3 linked regions of the Drosophila melanogaster genome follow. The protein of the gene in region 2 interacts with the protein of the main gene of each other region in a pairwise test. Each region holds a gene or a part of one and is shown on either strand. Other genes may lie near its edges.

The links.
Region 1: the proteins of CG1690 (region 2) and eIF4E7 interact in a two-hybrid assay, tested with the Drosophila melanogaster proteins (one large-scale study listed by BioGRID).
Region 3: the proteins of CG1690 (region 2) and eIF4E5 interact in a two-hybrid assay, tested with the Drosophila melanogaster proteins (one large-scale study listed by BioGRID).

Annotation. Positions count from the first base shown.
Region 1 is NC_004354.4:1,155,272-1,166,982, forward strand, and holds eIF4E7 (eukaryotic translation initiation factor 4E7), read right to left. Parts: upstream 7,119-11,711; 5' UTR 7,015-7,118; intron 4,862-7,014; 5' UTR 4,835-4,861; coding exon 3,545-4,834; 3' UTR 3,328-3,544; downstream 1-3,327.
Region 2 is NT_033778.4:9,753,255-9,763,239, reverse strand, and holds CG1690 (uncharacterized protein), read left to right. Parts: upstream 1-5,171; 5' UTR 5,172-5,370; coding exon 5,371-5,425; intron 5,426-5,493; coding exon 5,494-5,837; 3' UTR 5,838-6,947; downstream 6,948-9,985. Other genes in the region: trpl (transient receptor potential-like), read right to left, coding at 1-182, 244-517, 964-1,198, 1,252-1,624, 1,686-1,828, 3,226-3,463, 7,057-7,202, 7,481-7,510.
Region 3 is NT_037436.4:7,890,378-7,899,528, reverse strand, and holds eIF4E5 (eukaryotic translation initiation factor 4E5), read right to left. Parts: upstream 4,650-9,151; 5' UTR 4,491-4,649; coding exon 4,141-4,490; intron 4,084-4,140; coding exon 3,896-4,083; intron 3,843-3,895; coding exon 3,682-3,842; 3' UTR 3,520-3,681; downstream 1-3,519. Other genes in the region: pbl (pebble), read left to right, coding at 675-806, 876-1,226, 1,290-2,231, 2,297-2,407, 2,468-2,617, 2,677-2,805; CG32365 (uncharacterized protein), read right to left, coding at 5,035-5,884, 5,957-6,294.

The sequences.
Region 1 (11,711 bases), on a different chromosome or scaffold from region 2:
TGCCCCCATGCGCCCATGCTCCTCAGTGTGTTTGTCTTTGCCTTAGCAGTTAAAATAATCATAATAAAAACAAAATCCAAGCGCACAAGCGAGCTGAAATCCCCAAGAAGAAATGTCAACATTTGCCAGCCAAGTGCACTTGCTCCAGCTCCAGCTTCAGATTCAGATTCCGCCTGAGCTGGAGCTCCAAGAAGCAGTGGCGAAGAGGCGAAGAGGGGAAGACTGAAGACTGTCTCCCGGGACTCGTCTGTCGGCTTAGTTGCCAGTTATCTTGATCACAGCTAAACAATCGATTCAATTTGAACTTAATGGAGTCCTGGCCGAAAAGTGGGAGCCAAAGGTCAGTCGGTAGGGAGATGTGTGTGTGTGTGTGTGTGTGTGCTGCAGAGGAGCAGAGACCTGGTATTTACTGACATGCATCCAATATTTGCATTTCGGAAGTCTGTGACTATTTTCATATGCGAGTAGCCAATGAACAAATACAGCTATTATATACTTCTGTTTCCAACGATCTATTGCACACTTTCAATGCGGCTTAATTACTACTGAGATTAAAACCCTAAACAAGTCACTTTTTAATGGAACGCGGGGTGATTCTCACTGATCCAGTGCAGTGCGTGCTGGTCCGTGAAAGACGCGTTTGCTGGATTCCGGCCTGCGGAGATTGACGCGACAACACTAATGATGTGCCTTGAGCCCAGTGCAATATGAACTGGATTATTGGAAGCCACATTTACATATGGAATGGCACCCTACGCCTCGTGCGTGGACGCATTTAATGAATGCTGCTACAAATGGTTGCAACAATTCGGGAATCACATGTCCTCCCACCTCTTGTTGTTTGCCCAGTATATGTCATGCCCATATAAGCGGGGCCAATGGCTGATTGACATATCGTGCAAATGGACATTGAACCCCCCGACTGGCCGACCGACCGACCGACCAAAGGTAATCACACCGGCCACATGACTTATTCAGAACTGGCCCAACTGGCCGGTGCCCAGTAACCAAGACCCCAAGACCCCGCACTACGGCCCTGAATTAGCTATGGCCGTATAATTAGCACAATTTCGGGCGGCCATGTGACCCCACTACACTAATACACTGACAAGAGAGTGTGAGGCCACATTTTTGGTGGGCTCTCATTGAACTTTGAACTACATATGTGTAGTCATTAAAATGTTGACATTAAATATTGTATCTATAGAATCGTCATTGATGGATTAATATGCATTATTCATACACCTAGCTAAAGTCAAGTTGCTTTTCTTTCTGTGTACTTGTCCTGGGGCCTCGTTCGAGTATTTCCATATGACATGTTCGTCTCTCGTCCGGATCCGGAACATAAATGTTCTGTCCTGTCTTGGGTAGGGGGCAGGGTGGAAAGGGGGGACGTGGGCGGAGTGCCTTTATAGATTATGGATTGTTTATTGGGCCAAGTGTCAGAATTGAGGCACCCATTTGTCCATAGCTGATGTGAGTCCTTGCCACAATGAGTGGTTTTCTTTTTTTTGCTATATCTCTGTGCTTAGGATACGGGCTCTTTAAGCTGAGTGATTAGTTCAGCTGGCAAAATCGATTGGGCTATTTCAATGGTTTCGCTTGGGAAATCAGTTATAAGTTATTTAATAACTTAACTACGCCCCATTTGTTTTTGCAAAAAAAAGAAACCGATTTGCTTTAACAGCTTAACCTAAAGAGCGTTAGTTTAAGCGCTGGAAACAAAAAAACCTCTTAGCAATCCCCCTTTGTATCTCCTAAATTCCCCTTCGCCAATGCGTGTGATAACCAAAATCAAGCCGCAGCCGACTATTTTGCATACGCAAATAAAAGTAAATAAATTGAAATTCGCCAGTGCCTTGGTGTGCCTCTTCTTCCACTTCCACTTACCTGTGTGTACATGTGCGTATATGCATATATGTATGTACATATTTTCCCCTGTGCATACAGCACACGCATGTAAATCGACGTTTTACAACACAAATGCCACCTGTGGGGCGGCCTTTTTTGAGCCCCATAGTTTGGGGTAGTTGGCAGCCTAAAGGAACATTTTCGTTTCTATCTTATTTTTGGGGCCGATTGGAGGAGGAACTCGTCCGCTGCACATAGGTGAGCGCAACGTTCGAAATTCAACTAGTATAGGCAAAGCTCTCATTTGACTACTGATATTTGAGATACATGCTACCAGTGAAGCCGATTTTGGTTCTAGTTTTGCGCGAGAATACATAGAATACTTAAATTTTAGAGCAATCCCAAGTCGGTGTGCGAGTGCCAGACACTTCAAATTTTTTTATTTATAGGACAGAAGAGAAAGGACTTTTTGGCAATTGTTCTGGGTGAAGTGGGCGGCTTGGTTTCGGCTCCTGTTCAGCATACATATATGTTACAGATTTTCCGTTTCGGTTTATTGCCAATACCATTGTTAAACATCGGACTAGTCCGTAAGCCCCCTTACCCACCATCCCCCACCGTTTGGGATCGCAAACCAAATCGATACAATGGCTTCTCGCTTTCGCTTTCCTCGGTTTTCCATCTCTAATAAGTGGGTGCCCAACTACAACGGTTGGTGGCCATAGAAAATCGTTAAGGTGTTTAATCAATGGCTCTGGCTCGTTGGCACAATGGAATGAAATTAAGTGCCATAAATCAATGGCGAAATATAGGTGAGCTCGCTTTTATGGTGCGCACTTGGGCCAAATCACCTGGGCCTTGACCTTTTTCGTGGAGTCACCAGAATATTTGGTAAATAGTAAATCCTCGCAAGAGTGGCTAAAAAAAGCTCAGGAAGAAATTAGAAGGTAGGAAAATGGTCACAGCAAGGCACAGAAAATACATTAAGCACATTAAAGCCCGTCAAATGGAAAAGTGGCCAAGAACAGCAACAAAAGGAATTCAGTGCCAGGAGAACGCACCTGCCTCCACTCCAACATCATTGGCTCCCCTTACGTGGTCACCCAAAGCAGTCACAATAAAATGCCAACTGCCAATAAATGCCAATAAATCAAACAATTGAGCACGGCCAAGTTGTGTGACGCCGTGCGCCAAATAAGTCCAACGGCCAATGTCCAATGTCCAAATGTCCCATGTCCGCTGACCGATGTGAAAGCGAACAAAAAGCTAGCAACCAACTTCTGAATGCCCGCCCCAATGGTTAGCAGTGGAGCAGACAAAGAACATCCAATACACCGATTGGAACTCAGGAATCGAGACAAACCATGTTGCATGTTCTTGGAATCGGGTTAAATTAGTAAAGAAGGTGCATAGTTAGAAACATTTCGCAGTCTCTCTCCAACACTCTCCAATTTCACACTTTAAAACAAACAACTTCTTGACCAAATAGTTATGTATTTATTTCGTCGCTCTATAGGAGCAACATTCAAATTTTTATGTACAACGTGTACGTGTACGGATGGTTTGACTAGAGATTTGGAACCCAACTAACTATCGATCGATGGCTGATCACACCTGCTTGACATTTCAAGTTCTTGTGAAAAAATACCGAAAATACTGAAAATGTTTCGATTCGCAATTGTCTGATGAGAACCTATACAGTGTATATTCTCTTCACAGTTGATCCCAGTTTATCCTTGGAGTCCTTGTGCAACTGATACTCCAGCACGTATATGTTGTCCATGCGTAGAACCTTGCGTAAAATGCGTCCAATTTCAAGGACTGTAGTCTGATTTCCCCCGTCAGCGTTCCAAATAGAGATCTTGTTCGACTTTCCGCGAATATTGACCACAACGCCACAAAGATCGTCCGAGTGCTTACAGGCCTCTCCAATCAGACAGAGCATGGCGTCCATCCAGAAACTGTCCAGAGCCATCTTGGCGCTCTTGGTCAAGTTGATGACCCAGCGTCCTCCATTGACATTGGCCTCATCCTCCCACATGGGTCGAATGCCCTTCTTGAACAGGGAGTAGTCACTGCCCAGCATAAGCTCGGATGGGGGCTTGATGTGAGTGATCAGGCTCCAAAACTTCTCCACGGTATCGAAGCTTGTAACCTTGTGCAGCATTTCTTCCCAACTTTTATTTCGATCGTTCTCTAGATACCACAGAGTCCAGCAGTTGTTGAGTGGATGTTGAGGATCCTCGACCTCCAAAAGTTCGGCGTTCTCCGCCGCGATGGTCAGATCATCATCACATTTATTGTTCAGTGACAGAAATTCTAGTGAATTGTCAAAAGCGACCACCGCATCTTCTTTTTTGGCCGGTGGACATGTGTTCTGTTTAATCCTGGGCTCGAGCCTCAAGCTCAAAAGCTTCTGCTCGGATAACCGCATTAGGACCTTCTGCCCTAAAAGATTTTCTTGTGTGATTATCTTTCCCTGCATATTCTTTTCGATTAGCTTCTTGTCCTGCAGATCCTTGTCGAGCACATTCTTCCTATATTGTGCACTAGTCGACTGCTCCTGTTCAGGGCTATTTTCTTTCTGCTGGACCATCTGTTTTCCTTGGCCTTTACCCTTCTCATTGTCATCATTTCCCGTCGACTTTCCATCTTTGCCCGGATTGTTGCTTCGACTGCTCTTGCTCGTCTGACTGGGAGTGCGTGGCGCATTCTTTTGATTCTTCTTGCCCTTCCGGTTCCCCTTGCCACGTTTTTGGGGCTCTGATGGCGACGTTTTGTTTGGATCATTCATCGGTTCTTGGGTCTTTTCTGGTTGAGTATCTTCAGTGGATTGAGGAGCTGCAGCAGGCTGGGTAACATCAGTTGGTGACTCCACTTTTTGGGGACCTTGTGTGGGATATTCATTGTTGTTCGCACAGCTTTTAAACATTGTTCTCGGATTGGCAAAGTCCCTCATCCTGTAAAAGCTGTTGGGAAGCATGGCGGCTTTGTTCGAGGTCAGCAACGGCTGTAGAGTTATACGGAAATGGCGAGGTTAGCGCTATGTTTAAACAAACAAATCTAACAAAAAAAAGGGTTAATATAATGGCGATTTTTGGGATCTTTCATTTTCGTAGCTTCCTATACAATTATATATATGATGAATCCACAAAGCCAAGCCAAACGCTCTTTCTGAACTTCCGACTAATGAGGCAAACAAGCCAACATGCCCCTTTTCTCTAAGACGTGAGCTGGAAATTTCTTCTTTGGAAGCACGAAAGGAAAAACTGACCAAGACCAAGGGACGTGTGCAGAAGTTGGCAACTTTAGCAACAAATATTTACACACCCCCCGAACTGAATGATTTGAGTGGGTGCAAAACCCCAAACACACGGGTGTAAGGTAACACAGCACGCATTTCTTATTAGCTGGGTCAAGTTGTGCTTGCCCCTTGGAAATAACCGAGTAAAAGCGTTTTTCACACGCCAAAATCTCCGATAGAAAAGATTACGATGCCTTGGTATTTACGCATCTTTTAAAATCATTAAAAATTCTCTACATTTACGATATGCAGCGGACGAAGGAATCTTTATGTAATGGCATCACAAAAGTAAACCACCAGGAGAACAAACTTTGATTTGACTCTGGCTGCCATAAGTTAAAATGGGGTCAAAAGGACTCGAATTTATGAGTGAGAAAAAATCAATCAGAAATTGGAATCAGAAACAGAATCCAAGGCGTGGCAAATGTTTGAGCGGACTTGGACTTTGAGCGAGTGTTGTGCTTTCACGCTTTTGGCAAGCAGTTTATGGCCATTTTATTTGACCCGATTTTGTTTTAATGGAATATCTGTGCCTTAACCATGGACTTCATATGTACATTTGTATCACTTGGCATGGGCTAAGAACTGTACAGATATGGGAATCTCCTTTCACTTCTGCCATACAAATTAGGGAAACAACAAAGGCAACACATTGCAGGAGGTTTTCCTTCTTAAAAGCCGTTTAGGGATCTCATACCCGACATTTCCAAATGTTCCTCTTTTAACTTAAATGACATCAAAATGAAAAGCAGGGCCAAAACAGAAACAGAAACTACAAGACGTGCGGGTGCACTTAGCGAAAGTATTACAGAGATCAACTAAATTTTATCGCGACAGTAGTTTAGATTATAGCATGTAATGAACTGCTTTTGAATCTTTATGTCACTGTACTTTGGCGATCTAGATTCATTTCAATGAATAATTTACTTATGGGAGTAGTCGAAAGCCACAATAGAAGGCACCTTGGATTTCTCTCAGTTCCCGCAAAGCAGTTTCGCCCTTCTCAGTTCCTATCGATGCAATTTTTTATTTGGCCCGATGCGATGTAAATATTGCATTAGACGGGGCCAAAGTGTTGGGCAAATTTATTGGCAGCACATAAATCGAGGACTCGCCCTCAACGGGTCGGTTGTCGTCTGTTGAAAAAGTAAATGTTCTAAAGGTAAATATGCACACAGCGAGGAAGTGGCACTCATTCAGTTGAACGTTGGAAGTGGGAAGGAAGTTGAAGGAAGGTGGACTACTCTACATTGGCATCTGTGCTCGCCTTCTGTGACCTATGACCTGTGAGCCATCGTCGCTGGCTGAAATGCCGAAATGTTGAAATGTTCAAATGCCGGCTGCTGACTGCTAGCTGCCTCGAAAAACTGATGAAAATGCAAAAATGTTGTTCCCAGTCCTTGCCTTTCCCCTCGGCTGCTATGCCAATTTTAATTAACAAAAAACATGAGCAGCTCCCTGTTGCGTTGTGTGTGTTTTGTTTAGCTCTGTTTTGTTTTGTTTTGTTTAGTTTAGTTCAGCTCTGTTCTGTTTTGTTTTGTTTGGCTAGTTTGAACTTTGTTCCTCGTATTCTTGTATGCCGGTTGCACTAGACGGGTGATGGGGTTAAGCAGGGGTAGCTCCATCCCCACTACCGTCAATCCGCTCAATTGCTCTAGCCCAACTTTTTGCATACTTTCGGGGATTCCCAGTAATCGGCGGCAGCCAATGAAATCTAAGCTGACCGACAGACAAGACATACTACATACGACAAGGAACACACTACCTTATTTGTAAACGAAGATGACGAAGGAGGAGAAACCCAACGAACAGTTCTAATGCCATAATTAATCACTACGAATTGGGTCTACACAACTTACCTAACGCACTGCGAATATCCGAATACCGCTTAGGTCAATCAAAATATATCAACAAATAAATCGCAATGGTTTTGTAAATAAAATTTGACTAAAACCCGGTTGTTCTCACAACGAAGTGTCGTCCAAAACTGATTTATATTTCTAGACTTACTTTGCTCTGAAAAATGACTTTTGGTAACAAAAGTCCGGTCCCACTTCGGTACTATTCTGCATTTTTTCCCATCACTGGGATCGGATTCGCGAGTATATGGCCTAATCCGAACTCCACTAAGCGCTCCTGGATTACAGCTAAAGCATTTAATTAAAAAATTGCATTGCTTTTGTTTTTGCGCGCTGCCATAATTTGCATGCCAACAACACTATGGCCTGCCTGTTTGCTCATATCATTAATTCGCAATTTGGCCAAATAATAATGAATATTTTCATCTTGTGTCGCTTTTTGCCCTGTTCAGTTCAGTTCAGTTAGCTCTGAGCGTGTTTTTGTTCACATTTGTATATTTGTTCATGTCCGTTCAGACATTCGCATTCAAATGTTTTGCGTTTTGTGTTCTTGTGCAATGCAATTAATTAGAAGTGGATAAATGGTGCATGAGTGTGCGCAAATTAAATTAAATTCTATGTGCATTTTTGCATTTTGCCAGCGAATGAATCGCTCTGAAAAAGTCATTTGGAGTTGAAATGCAAACACGGCATTCTGAAATCATCAAGCATTATGAGAATGCATAAACTGAAATTGAACCATAAACGCATGCCCCCCGCAAGCGGATTGCGGGTATTATCATTATGAAATGCTAAATCGTGTAAAATATTTAAAGAGTCGTTAGCAGTTGCATTACGCAAAAAAGCAACACATCAAATACAAACATCCCAATGCATCAAAAAGGCAATCAGAGGGCGGTTGTGGCGTCGGTGAGTCCACCTCCAACCCGACCAACAGTTCGTGGCCGACTGAAGCAAACGACAAGGATTTCCCAGGACCTGCTCGATCGAGCAACAGAGGGACAGGCAACTTAACAGACAACCGTGGAAACTTAACAGCTGTTGTAGGCAACTCATAGACGGAATCATGAAGAATATTGTGCCAAAATACAGCATTTTCTTTTATTGCTTGCCCAAATAATCACATGATAAACCCACAAAGAAGCCAGATATCAGTAATTTAAATAACTTTGGCACAGCTTAAAAGCCATAAATACATGCATACAGCGTTACACGCACTTGCACTTGCGGTGCATATAATAAGCCTCAGTTTTTGGAAAATCCCTCGCCTTCACACATACCACGAACTTGGGATCTGTGGATGGGACTATTGCCATCAATAGCCTGGCAGAGGGCTATCAATGAAAATCAATGTTCATCATATCGGGGCCGCACTTCACTGAAGGCAATCGTCTGTTTTTTCTGGCCAGGAGCTCTTTCAGCGGAAACGAATGCATTTCCTCGCGGATCCATTCCAATCGCTGCTCCCAAGAAGGCACTAAAATGGTAGGTGGGCTCCTTAAATGTACATTCTGATATTGACACACTTTTAATACACTCTGACCCCAGCGAAAGCTTTTCCTAATTGGAAGTTTTTCTTACTTTGCCTCCGATCTACGAGTAGTTCATCAAATATATCCACATTCGACCGCCTCTGAAGCCGGGCAGCACCATCGTAGCTGTCCAAAAGGAGTCCCAAAAGGAGGAGTAACTTGATGAAAATTATCACGAACAAAACGCGGAACAGGCGTGTGTAGCTAGCCGACATATCGAATTTTGAATGATTCGGAACATACCGTCAAAAGCCAGAGTCACCGCGGCCTCGACATCTGTTCAAAACTGGTGGCGAAATGTTTTCTTTATCCGTCGACTTGGAGCTGTGACCTTATCGATGGAAACTTGTAAAGTCGTACTGGAAAAACACTAAAGCCCCAAACTGTGTTCTGTGTTCAGATAAACAAAAACACTAAAGAAGTTTGCTAATTATTGAGCTAAGGGACACATTCAACCTAAGCTGAAAAAATTACAAGTAGAAATTCACTATTTCTACGTATACCCAAGTTTAATAGGTAGAGCAACACATCGACCAGGAAATGCGTCCAAAAACAGGCGACAGGACCGGAAACCAAAAACGAAATGCAGACAGCAACTAAAACTCAAGCAGACACCAAAACCAGCCAAGCGGAATCAGGCGCAAGTTTTAAGAATAACAAACAAGAATAGGGCGACTCACGTGTGGCTTCGTTGCAAGGATCCGCAGAAAGTTGGCACAAGGTGTGCAATAGACACCGGGAACCCCAGCCCAGTCCCATGCCAAAACCCAAATACGAGTACAAGTAAGCGGCAAAATACTGAGTGCACACGAAAACGCACCTGGGCGCAAATGAATGATGATGATGTTGCCACAACAGCCGCAGGCAGAAGCAGCAGTAGCAGTTTCTTTCACAAGGTTCTCAACAGTGTCAAAAGATGCCATCGCCGTGGATTAATATTGTGTGGATCAACTGTTTTACTTGGTTTAAGTCATTTTTGTTCGAAGTAAGCCCAGTGAACTGAACTTAAATGTTAAAATTGAAGCTATTTACTTTAATGCGCCGTTCTCTGCGCTTCTCAAAAATCCAACTGTATGCACATCGCAACGCTTTAAAAATTTGCTTACCTCTAAGCGCCGTTCTCGCGTGCCTCATATACAAGCATTGCACCGCATCAGTAATTTAATGACTTTTAAGCGCCGTTCTCTGCGCTTCTCAAAAATCCAAGTGTATGCACATTGTAACTCTTTAAAGATTTAATTACTTTTAAGCGCCATTCACTGGGCTTCTCAAAGTCCAAGCATTGGACCACATTAATAGTTGAATTACCTTTAAGCGCCGTTCTCTGCGCTTCTCAAAAATCCAACTGTATGCACATCGCAACGCTTTAAAAATTTAGTTACCTTTAAGCGCCATTCACTGCGCTTCTCAAAGTCCAAGCATTGGACCACATTAGAAGTTGAATTACCTTTAAGCGCCGTTCTCTGCGCTTCTCAAAAATCCAAGTGTATGCACATTGTAACTCTTTAAAGATTTAATTACTTTTAAGCGCCATTCACTGTGCTTCTCAAAGTCCAAGCATTGGACCACATTAGAAGTTGAATTACCTTTAAGCGCCGTTCTCTGCGCTTCTCAAAAATCCAAGTGTATGCACATTGTAACTCTTTAAAGATTTAATTACTTTTAAGCGCCATTCACTGCGCTTCTCAAAGTCCAAGCATTGGACCACATTAGAAGTTGAATTACCTCTAAGCGCCGTTCTCTGCGCTTCTCAAAAATCCAACTGTATGCACATCGCAACGCTTTAAAAATTTAGTTACTTTTAAGCGCCATTCACTGCGCTTCTCAAAGTCCAAGCATTGGACCACATTAGAAGTTGAATTACCTTTAAGCGCCGTTCTCTGCGCTTCTCAAAAATCCAAGTGTATGCACATTGTAACTCTTTAAAGATTTAATTACTTTTAAGCGCCATTCACTGCGCTTCTCAAAGTCCAAGCATTAGACCACATTAGAAGTTGAATTACCTTTAAGCGCCGTTCTCTGCGCTTCTCAAAAATCCAACTGTATGCTCATCGCAACGCTTTAAAGATTTAGTTACCTCTAAGCGTCATTCACTGCGCTTCTCAAAGTTAAAGCATTGGACCACATTAGAAGTTGAATTACCTTTAAGCGCCGTTCTCTGCGCTTCTCAAAAGGCCAAGTGTATTTATTTATTTAATTTCTATTGAAAATCAAACCTATTTTGATTCCAGTATTAAGCAGAATACGACCCACTGTCGGCGCTAGAAGGTGTGTTCCTTAGCTCAAATGTAGCAACTTTTTGCTCAAGCAAATTGCCAGCCTGAGCAGGGCACGCCCCCACTTTGCCCCCAGCATGCCCAGACCTCTAAAAGCACCTTCTTTTGTCTACAGCTGGCGGGCAGTGAAAGTCGACTGCAACAACTCCACGCTCGTGTCTCCGCCCTGTTGCATTTCACTTAGAATGCTTTTAACCAAAACATTAAGCAGCTGGTGTCACATTATATCAGCGAGGCGGAGGCGAGGCTTAGTTAGCCTGGGAGCAGCAGCCGCAGCAACATGCAACCAGCTACCAACAAACAGCAACCAGCAACAGCAGCAAATTTATGGCCCGAATTAGCCCCGCCCGAACTGGAATCCCACCCCCAGCATCTGAAATGCTGTGGCTGACTAAAAACAAGGCACTCAGAAGAGCGAAGTCGGCTGGGAAGATGATGAGGACGCCCTACTAATGAGCTGAATTATTTCACGTAGGGAAAGCTTCCAAAGGGTTATCGTAAGTAGACAAGTTTTGGATGTCAAATACTCTTAAATTCGTCCTGTTTCTACAACATCAAAGGCGCTCGGTGTGGTAAGTGTAGACGACTCTGCATATCTAATGATTAGTTTGCTTATCCGTTCGTGTCCTCCTAAAATTAATAACTATTTGCCCAAATATGCTACAAATTTCCATTCATTTCTTCTGTTAGAAGTTCTATGTCAAACGAGAAATCCCTTGTGATTTGCGTTACTATACACAAATCTCAATTACTTAGAATGCCAACATTGACTTCTCCACATGTATGTGGGCATGGCATTAGGCTCTGGGAAAACAAGAGCACAGCTCAATCTAACTGCACTAATTGAAAACCGTAGATGGAAATAATAAGGCAATTTAACAGGGCCAAG
Region 2 (9,985 bases):
GACCCAGGTGCGGATTGATGCTGAACAGGTGCACCAGCTTCAAGGCCGAGAAGACATTGGCCGCCGCAAAGAGACCTTCGGCTATTAGTTGCGGGTCAAAATCGTGCCATTTCTCGCGTGGTATGTAAGCCATCTGCGGATCCCTTGCTATTTCTGTGGCCTGCTGGATGTAGGCAAAGGCTCTGGAGGAGAGTAGTAAAGGCATTATAAAGTAGATTTCACAAAAGCACATTTTAAGCTCACCTTAAACACATCACACTCACGTAGAGACTGTTGCGCAGAAAGTCGATGAAGTTCCACATGTTGCGCAAATAACTCTTCATGCCCACGGCAAATATCTCCTGCACCTCCTCCCACACGAACCCAATCACGTACATCACCACGATGAGCTCCAGCTTGCTGGGTGTCTGGCCTCGCTGACGCAGCTCCTGCTCCGCCAGCTCCTTCTTCATCCTGGTCGTCCCGAAGATGCGTACAAAGTCATCGTCCGCTCGCTGAGACACCAGAATCAAGATGACTGCAAGGCAAACAACAATGAGTCCCCAACTCGGTGTGTTATCATAAGGGGAGCTGAAGGAGAAGGAGCTCTTAATCGGAGGGAGACGCCTCCTCAAAGTAAAGTTATTTCTTATACCCTGCAGTTTTTCACATCACATTTGATTAATGACAAAGATTTGTAATGATATACATTTAAAGATAAAGGGTACTTAATATATTTGATTACATTTGAACTGTTGAAACATAGTAGAAAACATGTTTCTATTCTAATTGCCTATTAAGCTTAGTACCTTAATTACTTTTTTAATAAAGTTCATTAATAAATAATATTAGTTATTAAAATAGAAAAAGTTTGATACTGAATGCTTCAATCCCACTGAGGGTACCTGTCCATTGTGGGCTTCTCCTCCAATGGAGCTCATGCTCATGTTTGCTTTGTGCACCGACCGCACTCGACATACTCACACAGGAAGAACAAATAGGAGGAGGCATGGATCAGGAATTTCATAAAGGGCTTGCGCATCAACTGGCCCGTCCGGCAATTCGGGGCGCACATGTAGATGAGGCAGTAGAGCGGGAAGAGCACGGCCACCTGGGCGATGCAGATGACTTTGTCCACAATGCTCTTGCGCCGGAATCCGGGGAGGCCGTCATACCAAATCGAGGACAGTAATTGCTGAATATTCGAGTGCGCAACGAACTATCGCAGGAAATGGAGAATTTTAGCAGCAGAACCACGTCGGAGAAACATACCTTTTTTTGCTTGTAGGAAATTGCCTGCACCAGGCGGGTCAGGCTCATCCGGTCGCCGGGCTCATAGCTCGACATCTGCGGATCGTAGTTCAGGATGATGGCCAGCTCGTTGGAGGTGCGCGTCTGATCCAGCAGATCCACGGCGAACTTCTGGCACTGCCTTCGCAGGTCCATGTACTCTGACTTGCACTCCTGCTCGGTGAGGGCCAGGTTCCTCAGTTCCCAGGACAACTGGAAGGCCGTGATGATGGGGTCGTTGGAGGTTAGGCAGATCAGCGATGGACTGCACAGAGCCCGGTAGATGTTCACCCGGGAGAGGGAGTGCCTCAGAGAGTCCTCCGCGGTCAGGCGGACGCACTCCTCACAACCGCAACTATATTTAATAATGTGATTAATAATGGGATATGGGACCCATGTTAGATGTACCAGCTCACCGTATATCATGTGGCACTGGCACCGCTGCTCCGCGATCCAACAGAATGCGAAGTATCTCAAAGTTGTTCTTGTGGGCGGCCAGCATCAGAGGCGTGATATCCGGCGCAAACATAGCCGTGTTTATGTCTACTTTTTGCCAACTCTGTGGAAAGAAAAAATATATTCACTTCAATATATATAATAATTCAATGCTAAAAAAGTATTGCCTACAATATCCAGTAAGCAACTTGATATCAGATGTGCGTTGCACGCAACATTTTATAAAAAATATTACTTTCAATGAAGTCAAATAATCATGAAAGATTTTATTCAGTAAGCAACTTGATATTACTTGTTCGTTACACGTAACATTTAATTAATAAGTAAGCATACAATTAGTGAAATAATCGGGAATTACTTTAATCAGCACGAAAATCGATTTTAGACCTTTCTACACGTTACATTTTTAAAAAAAAAATTTACATTTATTGTAAAGCACATAAAGTTATTGTAGAAATCGGAATTCCACTTAATACACTTGTCTACTGCCTCACATGACTGAACTACATTTTGTCAATCTCGGTGGCTGTTCCTCCAAAATATCCTAAACTTATTCCAGGAACTGCTCAATGGCCCACTCGAAGAGGGCCGTCTTCATCGTTTTGTGGATGTTATTAAGCCTGTTAAACGTTTTATTGCATATGCGATACAATAGTAATTTTCACGCTCCAACAGCGCCCAATGGCTGCCTAATGAAGCGTGCCTGTGTGCATAAATATGAGGCCGACGGAGCCCAGACGACTTTATTTGCAATAAGCGTAAACCGTATCCTGTCCTCTGTTCTCCGTATGCCGGAGAGGTCCTCAATGTACTGGATTTTGAGGGGATGTGGACGGATGTGGGCGAATGTGGGCGAATGTGGATGGATGTGGTTGGATGTGGGGGTTCTTGGTCGTTGGCCGCTTATCGCACACTCCCAATCACTCGAGAGTCGAGATCCTGCGAGTACGTGCCCAATGGCGAAGATGATCCCGATGGGTGGGCCACTCCGGCCACTCCAAGCATACCATCCATCCAAACGCCCCACGCTCCTCGCACGGAAACTGATTAAAATCGTGTTAGCTTCAACTTACAGGGCCTCAACGCCTACGGACGATAATGTGGGCTACAAATTAGCTGAGCACAGCAGACAAAACAAAGGATACACTGCGAAAAAAAGTTCCAAACGTAGATAAAGGACCTAAACCCCCATTGTGAATAATGTGTATCTCAGTGAATTAAAACTATCAAATTATAAATATAATATCTTTAAGTAAATGGTAAACTGTTATCTAATTTTTACCCTATATCTGAACTGTTGCTCAAAATAAAATATTTGTTTGAAGAAAAAACAGCAACGGCTATAAACAAATAACACCACTGCCAAATTATTGTAGAATGATCTTAATAAAAGTATCTTTAGCTACTAAAACTCTTGCTTCGTTCTTTGTTCTTTTGTACTGCTTTAATTAAATGGTATAGTAGCATTCGATTTCTCCAGGTGTCTGTGTAATGACTTACGTAGGGCTCGCCCTCCTTGTAGATAAGCTCCTCGTGCTCGAGCAGGAGCTCCACAGCCTCGACAAACTCCGCATTGATGGCGTGCAGTAGGGCGTCCTTGGTCTCCACCCCCATGACGACGAGCAGCTCTACCATCTCCAGGTTCTCGTTGTCTATCGCTAGGGTGAGGGCCCGACGGCCCAATGGGTCCATGCAGTTGATGTTGATGTGCTGATGGCGCAGCGCCTTCTGCAGGATCCTGCAATTATTTGAATTTACTTAATAAAGAGGGTGGCATTGCTGCTAATTGGGGCTAGGCGCCCACCGAAGGGTCCACAATAACTTTTCTTTTCTTCTCCTGTGCACAGATTTCCGATGCCCCAAGAATTCCCGATGTCAAGTCAAAAGTTGGAGTCCAAGTTTCTAATTACATCGCGGCCGCAGCCTTCAAACAAACTTTCCCAATCAATTGGGCGCCGAAAAAGGGACTAATATCAAATTTTTATTTATTTATTTTTTTTTTTTTGTGTTTTACGTTACCGCGTCATTCTTAAATGTCGTGAAATTATTTGGCCACCCTCGTGTACGTGGAAATTGCCAAGGACTTAAGATTGTAAAGATTTATAGGTTTATTTTAATTTGATGTCTTAGTAAGCGTTTATATTTTTGGTTTTTCCAGGGCTGAAATTGTTGTATTTGAAACAGCTGAATAAGATGTGGGATACGTTATCAACGTTAAGTTGGTCATTTTATTTAAAGTATAATTGTCAAATGCGTTTTTGCTAAGAAGTCTTGTAATTATTTTGATTTCTGTAGACTTATTGACATTAGACATTTGGGATTTTTAAACCATAGTTTTTTTAATGTGCCTGAGAAAAGTGTGCAGTATCGCCGCTGTTTGTTTGCAGAAAATTCTGTTTATTTCTTTTCCCTGTCTTTTTAAGTGAATTTCAGTCGTGGCATCTTTAATGCTTCAACTTACTACGGTGAAAATTCCTTTGGTCGATGCATTTTTAGCGGCCAGGTCCACGAGATTACATGAAATGTGGTGGTCCAATCCAATTTTTATTAGCCTTTCTGTTATCTTAAACAGAACGCTTATGAGACATATACATAGGTAAAAAGCTTGAAACCACTGAAGGGTATGCTTTTTTTGGGTATCGGGACAGCTTTGATCTCTGGTTTGAGCTGATAACCATATTCTGTTAAGCAGATTAAATAGATCCGCTTTTATATTGTTTTATATTGTCATTGCGCGAGTCTGGCTTTCTGTTTGCTAGATAGATTAGAAAGTCCATTCATTCAAATGGATTTCGAGTATGTAGAAACAATACAGTTATTGGGTCGGGTGATATTGCTTTAGTGGATTGAGTGTTTTTCAACATTTTTAGGAATTCATCTTCTTCTGGAGCCCATGCGTTGCAAGTTCGTTTAATCTGTTTGTATTTTTTTTTTTTAATTTTTGATGCTGTCTTAGATTTAAAGGCTTTTGGAAATTTCTTCTACAAAGGTCTGGAAAATTGATATTTTTTTGTTTCTTATGAAATTTTGAAGAGTCTTTTCAGCTGCTAAGGTCTTACGTGCATCTTCATACCTTTTGGTACAATCAAATTTCTGCCTCGCTGCGTTTCGAAGTCGGAGTAATTTTTCTTCTTCTGAGCACCATCACTTTTTTGGTTCGTATTTGTTTGGTCCTGCGATTTTAATTGTGTTTGCACCGGTTATGTAGTCCAATGATTGTTTAATGGAGTCTAAGCTTGAAAAATGTACACTTTCAAAGGCAGAAGATTTTTTTTTTTATGTTGTGAAATTTGTATTTATCTTATTAATAATAACTTCAATCGAGAAGTGATTGCTGTTAAAAATTTTGGACTTGGAGGAGCTCCACGAAATATATCAAATTTTCCAACACTGCAGTGTACATTGCCTGGCAATTAATCGAAATCTAGTTATCCTGGCGTTGATGTGTCAAAACTAGTTTTCACCTGCCAGTGTTTAAGGCCAAAAATCTTTGATTTTACGAACGTTCGTCAACATAAATTGTTGTACTAAATTCAAAGAAACTAAATCCGCTTCCAAGACGCGATTACAGTGATTGCACACTACACCCAATATTAGGCGATTAAATTATTTGTACGCTCCAACGATTAAAAAACTCAATACCCAATGGATGCCGCCGAGGGTCAAAGCTTGGTGATCAAAATGGCGCAAAAGAACAAGGGTGAGCCAATAGCCAAGTGTGTTCTCGGAAGATTCGTGTAGGAAAAGTATGTTCGTTAAATCTTGTAGAGACCCAGACTGTGAAGCTGGTGCCCGGAGGCGGTCTGGTCAACAACTGGTTTGCCCCGGCTACGTATGGGCCAGCAGGGATTCCATTTGGGGCTAGTCCCATGATCCCACCGCCGCCCGTTCCGAATCACAGCGTATCGTGCCAGTTTTACATGGACCGGGAGGAGCAGCTGTACCGCCGCGCCTGCCAGATGAAGGGCATCCGGGTGGAGCGGGTCTCTGAGATCCGCGAGGAGGAGGACGACTCGAACGGCTCCGAGGAGGAGCCTTCGAAGGGCATCCGCTACCGCTACACCCTGGACGAGATGAAAAGCTTCAACCCATACCGTTTTATCAACTTTTAAATGTTCCCAAAACGTCCCAAATAGCCGTCATAGACGTCATAGCCGTCACACTTTCACTTTTACCCACATCGCACCGTCAGCACCTCAATATTCAAGTTGATTTAAGATCCATAACTAGGTCTAGCTTCGCCACCCTACCCACATAAGATGTCAGCTTATAGGTTTATCTTGCATGCCTAAAAATCGCAAGGAGCATCACACGAAGAACAGGAACCCAGGACACTGCCCATTTGCTTGTTGTTGCCGTATTTCCATGTAGACTCAAGATCCAAGACTAGCACTAACTTCGCCACTACTTCCACAATTTCACATTAGATGCAAGATTATATGGACATCGTGCATGCCTCCAAAGCGTATTGGGAATCACAAATGAAACAGGAACCCCGGACACGGCTCATTTGCTTGTTGTTACCGTATCACTCGCCCGATGAAAACAATAAAGAATTGTTCATAAATGACATCCTGGGATGTCAACAAAAAGTAAGGTTTAGTTGTGCTTTCAGGTAAGGGAACTTAAGTTATCCGAAAAGTTGCTTTTCAATAAGATTCGTTTCTCGAATTGATTGTGCATGTTAACAGCTTTAAGTGGCAACCGAAAAGTATTTGGATAATTTGGCTTATCTCTTATTCATTGCCAGCAAACGGAATTAATCGTACATTTGTTAAAGCAAAGCCGTAAACGAGCGTAAAGTATCCGGGTCGAAGGCCTCATATTGCTTATTAAGTGGCTGCCGGGATGCCAGTTAGGTAACCATTTTGAGGCCCGCGGCAGACGAGTGTGCAAATAATTGAACCCACCACCAGCACCGCATCCAAAGAACCCAAGGAGGCTCCCGATGGGATTTATGGTACCTGTGCGACCCAGCCCAGTCAACACCTGTGTTACCCTGGGCGAAGCCACCATTGGAGCTCGTGATACCCCTCTAAAAATGTCAGGGTTTTTATTCGAACACCCTACACTCGGATAAATGTGGTAGTGTGTTTAACTATTTCTTTTAAATTGAAGGCTAAATATATCAATATACATTAGGTTCTACTCGATTGATACATTCATTAGCTAAGCTTGTACATTAACTTTGAATACTAATGCTCATCCAACACCTGATTGTGGTAAGAGTTTCTTGCAGTGTATCCCTCCCGCCCAAGATGCCATACAGAAACACCACCCACCCCCCCCCCCTCCCTGCTGGGCATCGGAGGCGTGAAAAGCGCTACTCACCTGCGCACATTCGGCATATCGCCGCGCTCGACAGCCAGCAGGAACTTCTTCTCCTCGAGCAGCAGAGGCTGTGGTAATCCCAGCGGCACACAGCACCCGCCCACCGATTTGGGGGCGGAGGAGGCGTGGCTGACGCCAGACGATACCTGGCATAATTTAAAGAGACAGGTGAGCAGGAGCCACATACGTACATGCCGATGTGGCGAGGGGGAAATCGTGTATGCGGAATTGCAAATAAATAAAAAATAAACATACAAGAAAATTAAGTGCAAAGTGGAGGATGCTGGGCTGATTGTCTGGCTTCCATCTAAATGGCATTGGAGGCGTTTAAGGTAAGCGGCGTTTAGCTAATACTGGCGGCTTTAAGACATGCTACTTGCTGGATACGGATCTGGATCGGGATCCTGGATGGGTTTCTACTTACGCCCGTCGGCAGCTTCTTTTTGCGACCCATTCTAGAGTTAGTGCACTTCACTTAACCGAACGCCAGCAGTTCGTAACTAGTATTCCATGTACCAAGTCCAGGGTTCAGAGTTCAAAATCCGACTTCATGTCGCAGGGCTTTGCACACTTGCAGTGAAAAGTGAACGATATTTACATATATGGCATATATATTTATATACACAATGGCAAAGCCAAAAAAGTCCAATACTAAGCCGGGCCACATGCAACTTTCAAGTTGATTTTGCTTTTGTACTCATAGTTGTATAGTCCATAGTTATATGTCCAACTGGGTGTGCTTGTGTGTGTTGGTGTGTGTGTGTGTGTGTCTGGTGGTTTTTGACTTGGTTTATGGTTTCTGGTTTCCGGCGTGCAAAAAGTTTCTATTTAAGCTGTTTATAATGTTTTTCTTTTTATTTCCGCCACTGACCGAGCTGGCTAAACCCTTTTTAAGTGCCATCTGCATGGGCAAGATTTAAGTTTTGCCAATTTAGTGAGTTGATTAGACACTGTGCAGTTTCACTGTTTCCCGACTGTTACTGGTCAATTCCAAAGGCCACACTGAACACCAAATTCGCGAGCACTTATTGCACCACTTATGACCAATTGTTCAATCGGCTTTCTGTTTTGATTTACATTTTTATTGCACTCATCTCATTAGCAACGAACTGCAGTTTGTATTAGTTGTTGCTGCTCTCATTGGATTGTTCACATCATCGCCAATCGTTTCTCCCATTAGAATTAATTTCTTTGTTTCCCAATATTTTCCCACACCCGATGAAAATATTTTTATTTTCCGCTGCCTTCCTCCGCATGTGTGAACACAATGCCAAAATGAATATTTAAGGAGCTTTTTTCGATAATCCGCAAAGAAAAAATGCATTCCGTCTACATGCTTTTGCTTTAAACTGGCTTTATGCTCCTGCGGATGCGGATCTGCATGCGGATATGGATGCGGATGCTGCAGATGCATTTAAAAGTGTTTGGGCTGGTCATAAAAAATGCAAGTGCTTTGTATGCGCGGCAGGCAAAAACTCGGAACCATCATCATGGCGGTTGTTCCATAAAAAACACTTCCGGTACCAACAAAAGGTGGTTCTGACTACCCCAGGAGCCCCGATGGTGCATTGTTTAATTAACTTAATAGAAATATAAGTGCGGAGGACGGGCGAAAATGCGGACGGACATAAAAATGTCGCAATAAATTCGGTTTTATCCGCCACTTCATGGGAAGCGTTTATAAATGGATTTATAGCTGTTCACCTGCACAGCAGGTGCATACTGCGACTGCCCATCGAAATGGGATTATATCTGCACCTGTATATATTATAACAAGTATAAACTATTCGGTTAACATACGATGTAAAATGCATATGATATTTCACTCTAATTTCTCCCTCTGCAGCCGAGATGTGTTAATTCTGCCTGGCACCGATCGAAGTATCATAATTTTGTCGCAAGCGCACTGGAGTTCATTAAAACTAGAACAAATTTTGAGTATTTTACAGAGTTCATAAAAACGAAGGGCTTATCGCGATGGCAGCCAGTTGAATCGAAACTCCAGCAGTCACAGACCACAAGCTCCGCACACACAGCCCCAACTTGACAATCAACGGAAGAGGTAGGAGCAACCTGCAGCTGCCAGGAGCAACCAGGAGCAGTCAGGAGCAACCAGGAGCACAATGAATGAAGGATATAGCCACGTAATTCAGTTGGCTCACGGACTGCACTTAAGCCACTTATAACCAAGCGTACGGATACGTACTTCTTGCATTCCGGCACATAAAAACGTGTGCAATTGTTCGACTCGCTGGCACAATGGACGTTGGAATTTCATGTGACCGGCTTAGGTGAGAGGACTGCGACTATGAATTGTATGCTGGCATATACTTTATAACAATACGTTTGGCCACCGAACTCCCGAATTCCCGTACAATGTGTGTTGTAGTTTATGTATATCTGAATTTCAGCTCTTTTGAAGGCGAAAACCCGCCGAGAGACAACCCGCGACGCAGCCCGAACGTGTGCCACCTGCGAAATTTACACGCTGCTACTAACGCGCAGAAATTTATACCTTTCCCGAGGGCCGAGCGGCGATGTGGCTAATTTAATTAGACTAAAACGTCAAATATTTGTCACCCATCGCATGGATACGCCTGGAGGTTGTCCGTGCAACATTTATCCACACATATATATATATATATATTTCTATAGGTTTATATATACGTTTGTGGTGTTATGAATTGTGGAGGTCGAGGGCTGAAACACAGTATCAACAAGTTTTCGCCAAGTTCGCCTAAGGGGATTAGGACCCAAACATATGTAGGGGCTGGTGCTGAGGTGGGACTGGTGGTGGAGGTGGGGGCCACGATCCAGACGGCGACTGTCGGCAATTGAATTACAACTAATTTGCCATGATTTGATTTGGGTTGCTACAGCTATTGTTTGCCACTTGCTCTTCGGGCTCTTTTCCGGCCACAAACTGCTG
Region 3 (9,151 bases), on a different chromosome or scaffold from region 2:
AATACAAAGAATTAAAAACACAACCAAACAAAGCAGCACAATAAGTATTTGAATAACATTTATTTGCCACACACAAAACACACACAATCCCCCACACACACACACACTCTGGTTATAGACTTTCGTTCAGCTTGAATAAATGTTAAAAATGCCAACTAGAAAAAACAGCGTAGATAAACAAATTGAAACAATAAATGGAGAGGAGAATAATATCGAGCAAACCTTTAACTGTCTAGCACGAGCGATTTCTTCGCATTTGGGTGAATTATTATTATTTTCTTGATGGACTAACAAATATTTACACAAATGTTACTCGTTCTCGGGGCAAAGCAATTTGCATTAATGTTCCGTAGCTACACACTTTTGCCTCGTTTCGTTCGCCAAGATCTTTGCCGTTTCAAAGTGCTGCCAAAAATGTGCACTAAAAATGTTTTGTTTGGCCTTTTTGCATTTGATGAATGTGTTCAAAATTTATTGTGCTTGCTGCTGCTGTGCCGAGCTATATCTATATCTATATACCATCTATATAGACGCTTGATTGACTCCGTTTCGTATAATCTAAATTAGCCAGCAAACAAAACATTTTTTGCGATCTAGCACATTCCGCATCTCTTTTATACACACATTAAACGATGGATCACCGATATTAATTTGTCATGTTCTCTTCCGTTCAGGTGGTTGACGAGCACACGACTTTGACGAAGCCGGAGCCGAAGAATAATCACACTCATATCCTGAAATCAGACTGGTTCTGGTATACCATACAGAATGGCTATGCCAATGAGATGGACTATCTGTTTGGCGACGTAAGTAGATCACTATTAAATTGTTTACCAGCTGAAACTAACATTGAATTACTTTTGATCTTACTTTAGTATTTGGATAGCATCACGAATACACCGAACACAGATCGTCGGGATTCATTGCCCATTAGCTTTAACAAAAGGAAACGCAAGCGTTTTTCGCAACGCATCCAGCTGGAGGGTACTCCGTTGGGTTCTGGTAAACGACGCTCCTCCGTTTCGGATGCCGGTCTATTGTCTGTCTCAAATAGTTTATTCGATTGTACCACCAGTCCGGATAAACTGGAGTCGGACAAGCTGTTGCATGCCGAGCCGGAGGCGAGCGATGCCACTCCAGCCAAGAAATCGATGCGCTTTAATCACTTTATGGACTTTTATACCACAGAGTCCAACTACGTGGGCATATTGGACACCATACTGAATGTAGGTTGAATATTTTCTTAATGATGTTTTTATTTTCATTTATTTTTTACTACTCGTCTACAGCTTTTTAAAAACAAGTTGGAAGAGTTGGCTGAAACCAATGATCCGCTGCTTAATAAGTCGGAGATCAAGACGATCTTTGGCAACTTCCTGCCTATCCACGAGGTACACCAAAGCATGCTGGAGCATCTGCGGAAATTGCATGCTAACTGGCGGGAGGATTGTCTTATTGGAGACATTATCATTCAACATCGCGACGAGCTGATAAAGGCGTATCCACCATACGTCAACTTCTTCGAGCAGATGAAGGAGCAACTGCAGTACTGCGATCGGGAATATCCGCGTTTCCACGCCTTTCTGAAGATTAATCAAACGAAACCGGAGTGCGGACGCCAAGGTCTACAAGATCTGATGATCCGTCCAGTTCAGCGATTGCCCAGTATCAGTCTGCTGCTAAATGATATATTGAAACATACGACAAGTGGCAATGCGGACCACGGACGTTTGGAGGAGGCTCTGAAGGCCATCAAGCAGGTGACACTGCACATCAACGAGGATAAAAGGCGGACCGAATCGCGCATGGCCATCTTCGATATATTCAACGATATCGAAGGATGTCCGGCGCATTTAGTGAGTTCCAACCGCAGCTTTATTTTGAAGTGTGAGGTGAACGAGCTCTCCGATTCGCTGAGCGGTCGTGGTGATAGCCTGGTCCTGTACCTGTTCTCCGATTCCATTGAGCTATGCAAGCGGCGTTCTAAAGGATTCAACACTGCAAAATCGCCAAGCACGGCCAAGACGCATAAGCATCTCAAGCTGATATCTTTGAATACGATCCGGTTAGTGATTGACATCTCGGATAGTCCAAGAGCTTTTGGTTTGCTCTTGCGGGGCGATAAGGAGAAGCTCTATACGTTTACGATCAGTGATGAGGAGACAGATAAGTCGGTCTACGTAAAGAAATTGTGCAACCAGATTGCAGCCCACACCTGCCGTACTGATGCGGTAAGTGGTAGCATACATAGATAGTTTTATGTTCTGAAATTCATGTTCTTATTCTTGTTTTGCAGGACAAACTTTTGATTTGTCGCACCTCCCAGGAACTGGAGGTGGACATAAGTGATGTGAATGTCAGCACGCTCAGCAAAGCCTTTAAACTGGCGGCCAAAACGCGACTCAAGGTGGGTCCTCAAAACTTTTTCAGCTTAAAACTTTTCTAATACTAATTTTCGTTCTTTTAGGTGGGTCGTGCTTTCTCCTTTAACAAAACGCCCAACAAACTGAAACGGGCCGTATCCACGATGATGACTTCGCCGTTTGGCAGCACCAACTCTCTAACACCTGCCTCTCAATTGGCCCAGATGCGTTTGGCCAGCTGCACGAATATAAATGTGTGTACAACTACAGCATCGATGTGAACAAAAACTGATGTATAATTATATTTTTATAGGAGGTTGATGATGAGGACTGTGCAAGCATGCGAAGCAGTTCGCCGTCAACACAATCCGAGATGCTAGTGGTACCGCCACTTTCGGTGCAACCCACGCGGAAAAACAAGGCCGTTGTGGGCCGCATTTAGAGCTGATGATGATGATGACTCCACAGTCAAATTGTGTATTCCATTTTGGAAGTCTCTTTTTGGAGAGACTCGCTTGCAGTGCTATTCCTTGAGCATTGGTCGCCCATGTCCGAGTGCATATACAAGCTTCGAATTCGTAATCTCACAACACAACCAGAAACAAATTATCGAGCGTCCAATATTGTTTAGATTGTAAAATGTATTGTTAAGTTGCACCTGTCGATAGGAAGGCTCGCAAATGTTGAAGCGTTTGCCCGAGCTGTCGATTGATCATGATTAACTTGTAAATAGTTCTCCATATGTGTACTCCCGTGCCCGTATAATTGTGTCGCGTCGCTAAATGTAATCAACTACTCATTGCAGTGACTAGGGATCGAATTCACGCACGCACCGAACGATCGATTCGGATGGTTTTCGGTCGGATGATCGCCACACCGCAACAAGCTGTGAATGTTTACTGAGTAAATTTTTTAAAAACCCTATCTTACCATATTGATTATAACTCAACGATTTTGCTTGAGTAGGCAATTACGACCCTAAGTCGTAAGGCGTTCAAAGCATGAAGATGTTTAAGTTAATATATGAACAATGATTAAAGGAAAACATTTTTAAATCAAAGCATTTTTTATTCTTAGCTTTGAAGCTGCAAAGTAGGCAACGAATTACACAAACTTCGACAGTTACCACAATCTCACCCGAAAAGATGCAATTGTTGCGCATAGAAAATTAGGTTTTTAATTTAGTCTATAGAACAATTTTGTAGGGGCAATTCCAAGTAAATATTCATATACACCAAGCCAATCATATCTTCCACACTTACGAATCTGGTGTACAAAAATAAAAATATACTAACGTAGAGGACCTAAACAATCGCTTTCAGAGTGTATAAACCGATTTGACGCCCGAATTGAATTTGGACATTGCATCGGAATGAAGTTGATACTGCAAACTATGCGATTGCAAATGAAGGAGTATCTTCAGCTTCTGGCCGATCTCCAGAATGGCCATTTCGTTACTCCCGTTGGCAGTCCAAACCGCTGTAATAGATACAGTTTTTTATCAATGTGCAGAACACATTTGATAAACTTACAGATTTTGTTGCTCTTGTTACGTATATTGATGACAGCTCCGCAGATCTCGTCGGAGTATTCAAAATTTTGGCCCACCATCAGCAGTAGAATGTCCAGCCAAATTTGATCCAATTCCGCTTTGGCACTCTTACTCACGGTGACCAGCCAGCGACCACCCTTGATGTTGGCTTCATCCTCCCACATGGGTCTTTGGGAGTAGAGGATTTAAGTTAGCATCTCTCAATGAACAATGATTTATTCGTACTTTATGCCCTTCTTGAACACGGAGTAATCGCATCCAATCTTCAGCTCCGCTGGGGTCTTGATGGTATGGTACAAGCTCCAGAAGGTCTCCACACTGTCAATCTCGGTAATCTCGTTTAGCATGTCCTTCCAGTGCTTGGTGCGATCGTTTTCCAAATACCACAAAGTCCACACATGCTCCAAAGGATGCTTGTACTCGACTTGGTATATCTCTTCATCGATAGGTTCTGGGCTATTGCTCTCCAGTGGAACACCTTCGTGGTGATGATGATGCTTATGGATACTATTCAGCTGATGTTGCTGATCCTGCTGCTTCATAATATCAAAACTTTGCACTTGTGCACTGGCCATGTTGTTGGTTGACTTGTTTTTTTTTTTTCGATACGAACAGGTAACCTTAATTTATTTGCTGACGGCTGTGTTCTCAACGAATTTTGTCGCGATTCGAGTGGGAATTGCTTACTAATAACCAAAAATACTTTAGCACATTTTTCTAGACCTAAACGAAACCTGTCGAAAAGAAGGAAATGAAATGACAATGACACCTGGGTGTAAGCATACTATGCTGGTTTTTTCTTTTAATATAAATTATTTTTATTCATTTATAAATACTGCAAAACTTAAGACAAATCAATTTACATATTGTTAACATAGAAATGCGCGCTTGGTCCTTAAAAAAAAAAATAATAACATACAAAATGAAAATGTATGCACTCTATTCCAATGGTCAATTAAACACTAAGCGGAGGCACTAGAGAAAACAAATCGAAACAGCTACGGGGTGTTCAAAATAAAAAAAAACACGGTTTTCGTAACCATATTTGAAAAGATTCTCAATTCTTTTAGAAATACGTTAATAAATTATCTCAAGGCTGGTTTTGAATCATCCACCCGTCTAGACCCATAAAACAGCGGCTGCATCCTCGTTGGACAAAGTGGAGAAGCGCTGGTAGCGATTCGCATTGCGATAGGTTTTCGAGGGCGATGGAGCGGTTGATATCTGAGCTTGAACCTGTACTTGAACTTGAGTCTGATTTTGCATGGGCAGCCCCACCATATTTAATCCGGACTTTAGTGTGGAGTTCCTGCTGTCCGAGGACATGGACAGGCGTCGCTGGTTTCCATTCATCAAGGTGGAACTCAGGGGCAAGCCGACATCGTGAAAGGAGCTAATCGAACTGAAGCCACTCTCATCCTCGGTACTGGAACCGCTCTGCTTATTGCTGGTGGTTTTGTTATTGCTATTGCTGATGGCTGTGTTGCTGGCGGTGGTCTGTGTCTGCGTCTCCTCATCCGTTTCCACTTTCGAGGAGGAGGATGCCGTCGACGAGATGGTGGAATGCACGGAACTGTCGGTGGAGCTGCGCAACGATAGCCTCGAGTCGCGCATGTTGTTGGCCCGCAGAAAGATGAGTTCCGCATTTGATTTCCCGCCCGGTGATGGAGTCTCCAGTGTGGCACTCATGATACTGGTGGAATTGTGCAATGGTGGCGTCAGTAGTGTCATCACCGAACTGGTTTTCCCCTTGCATAGGCGGTGATTTCCCGAGGGCAGCGATGAAATGGAAGCGAGCGAGTGGCGCGGCTGCGTGAGATCTGGTTGCTGTTCCGAGGTGTGCAAAAGATTCCTTATGGTTCTGGCCAAACGAAAGGCCTCCTGATTCAGCTTTTCCTCGGCTGCCTCAGGAGCCGATAGACGTGACTTGCAACCGCCACTGCCTCCAGACTTCTTCGGGGATCGACGCCTTTGGCAGAGAGAAGACATTTCGTTATTAATTGTTTGAAAATTATTAGCACTGCTATTGATCTCCCCTTACCATGTAAAATCCTTGAAGGCATTATAGCTTCCAGCTGGTGCAATCGTCTCGTAATTGTGCTCCTCGTCCATGGCATGCATTGATTTATTCAACATCAAATTGGTGCTGCTCCGGGCGCGTAGATATGAAGCTGATCCGCCGCTGGAGGCGTCATCATCCCGAGCATCGCTCTGCAGGGAGGTGTTGCCCACTCCGTGGACATGATGCAGACTCTTGGAGCGGGCAATCTGCTCTCCATTGCGTTGGGTCTGCTGGAGTTGTTGCTGCAACTGGTAGCGCTCAAAGAAGCGGGCCACCTCCTCCATCACCGCTCGGTACATCTCGCAATTGGTTTCGGTCTGAAATTTAGGATTATAAAGTGATTTAGAATACTTAGGGATTGATAAGTGGTAGTTTTTACGCATAATGAAGATAGATTAGATAGATATTGTATCTTTCTTTGGGAATGTAACTTTAGAAACGTGTGGCCCATATTTTAGGTGAGCTTTCAGCTCTTCATGTAAATCTCATTCAATCGACCTTTCTCCGGCTAACTCAGCTTGTATTTCCCCTCCAAAACTTACAGCTTTGCTCCAATGTGCCAGGTCATTGCTTTGACACATTGATAATGCATTTGAACCGATGACTTTAATTTATTATTTATGTTAATTGTAAATGATTTTGCTTGGCAGCAAACATTTGTAGAGCAGCAGCATCGGCATCAGCATCATCATCAGCCTATAAAAACTTTCACTTGATTTTTTATCGCGCCCCTTTACTCTGCGCGCATTTCTCTACTTCATTGTGCTGTGGGTCTTTGGGCCATATCAGCATCATTGGCCAAGTTGATTGGGGGGGAATGTCGCTTTTGGTTAACTTCTGTGGGCCAAATTGTCTAATTATCAAATGCCATTCGAGTCTATGGCGCTTGCCAAATTGGCAGAGACCTCAAAAAGGCGTTAAGATTGCCGATTGCCATCACCTGGCAGGCAGGCACACGCCCACCTCCCGGGCCATTTGAAATTTGGCCAAAACGGGTGGGCATGCAGTTTATATGTACATATATATGTGTGTATATCTGCTGGTTTTTTGGGGAGGCTTCACACGATGCCAAAATAGTTGGTGTCTGGCTGATTATGTAAGTTGGCGATGCAGTCGTTGCTATTGCTATTGCAACGCTTGGAAATTGTTGCTAATTTTTCATTGGACGTTTTTCCGTTTTCGGAGGTTTTCCTACTGCGTGTTCGCCAGAGGTTTTCATTCGAATTACGAATTGTTTTCGTGTGTCTGAGATTTATTTGAAAATGATGTGGAAATTGTTGCCGGCGCGCACTGCTGCTGCTGCTGCTGCTGTATTTGATTTCGATTTTGTTATGCTTTGTTTAATTTCATTAATGCCCAAAGTGTTTTTAGCCATCGTCGAGCAATTGGAGCTGAGAGGATTCGGGTACGAATTTTTCCGATTCCGATTCGGACTCGCTTGGCCTGCCAGCAGCTTCCCATTGAACGCATTTCCTGGCTACACCGGTCGGTTTAGTCTGGGATCTTACCGGTGCATAAATTAAATGCGGTTCCCTCCCATCGACTGCATCGTCTACTCAATCAATCAATCAATCAATCTCGCCAGGGTTCCACCCACGCCTGCATGGTTTTTCTTTTCATTTATAATGGCCAAAATGTTTTTCCATCGCGGTTTTCCTGCCTTCTAACCCAGTTTTCCGTTCGCCAAACAAGAAACGGACCAAGCTACAGAAAATATTTATCTTTTCTTATTATTTTCATGTTTTTTTTTTCTGGTCACTGCTTTGTTTTCTTTTTTGCAATTTTCCAAGGCGAAGACCGCCGGCTTTCCAAGTCAACTTCATTGGGGCTCATTTAAAAGCGCATTAAATCGAAATGAAAGCGTAAATATTTTCGCTCTTTCAGCGGCATCCGTTGGGTGATTATGCGTTGCATAGAATAGCCTCGAATTGAAAGTGTTCGAAAGGGGAGAAACTGATCAGGTTGGACTCCAGATCTCAGCGTATCCAATGTGAACGTTGAAGGTCATTTCGTCGATTTCGAGTTCAAAGTTTGTTTCGGTCAATTGGGAGCAAAGCCGGCTTAGTGCACTGGTCTAGTTTTCGATTGGGAAAAATCTCAGATAGTTGGGAAAAACTAGTCATGGTGTTGTATGTATCTCAGATGTATTTGTAATGTTAGATTTATGTTTTATATTCTGTCATAAGTAAGATAGATCGAAACATTTTAGTCAAATTCATTTACTGTGAGATTCCCACGAATTCTTCTACCTTTTTGCACTTCTTGTTACCCAAGCTTAAAAACATGTCTATAATTTGTAAATTCTTTACCGCTGATTTAATCAATTAATTGTGTGTGAGTACCCCTAGGATTCCTGTTTAAGAATTTTCAGAATGCCCAAGTCACTTCATTGATGGCCAACATATTATTACACACCATATAGATACCAATCAGAATTGTTAGACTCAATCTGGCGCTTCTCACTTTAACAGTAAGGTTTTCAAAAGGCAGAAACCCGTCAGCTCCATTAGCAACCTTTTGTGAGGAAGTATAAAATTAATGCAGCTGTTGGCCAAAGGAAATGGTCGAAAGACAATGAAAGACACACGATGACCAAAGACCAGAACAAAACAATGTATAGAAAAGTCCGTCCGACTCGCAGTGTGGAGTCTATAATTAAGCGTCCAAGAAGAATTCTGCCGCCTAATTGCGATGGAGCAGACATTTTGCCCTCACCGGGGAGGAACTATGAAGAAAGGAAATGCCTCGATTGCTACACAGGTAAAATAGTGTAAAAATATGAAGAATATAAAAAAAAATTGTTTGTTATAAAAAGCTATAGCAGTTATTAAAAAAATATTCTTTTAAGAAAATTCTAAATTCTTGCAATAAATGGATTCAATACAATCTAACTATGCCGAATTTAAAAATAAATTTAACTAAAATTACAGTGTAAAAGAACCGAACCTAACAAGCGAGTATGTCTGATGACTGAATCGTTCCCCACATCTCGCACATTTCCATTTCCATTCCGATTTGAGTAAATTAAGCGTGAGAACTATTTGAATAAAAAATGCCAGAGACAGGAAAACAGGTTGATCCAAGGAGGGCAACAGAAGTTTTCAGCCAAAGCAGATCGACATCGAGATGGGGTTTGTTGTGGGGTTGTTTGGTTGACTTGGCACTTAACACAGT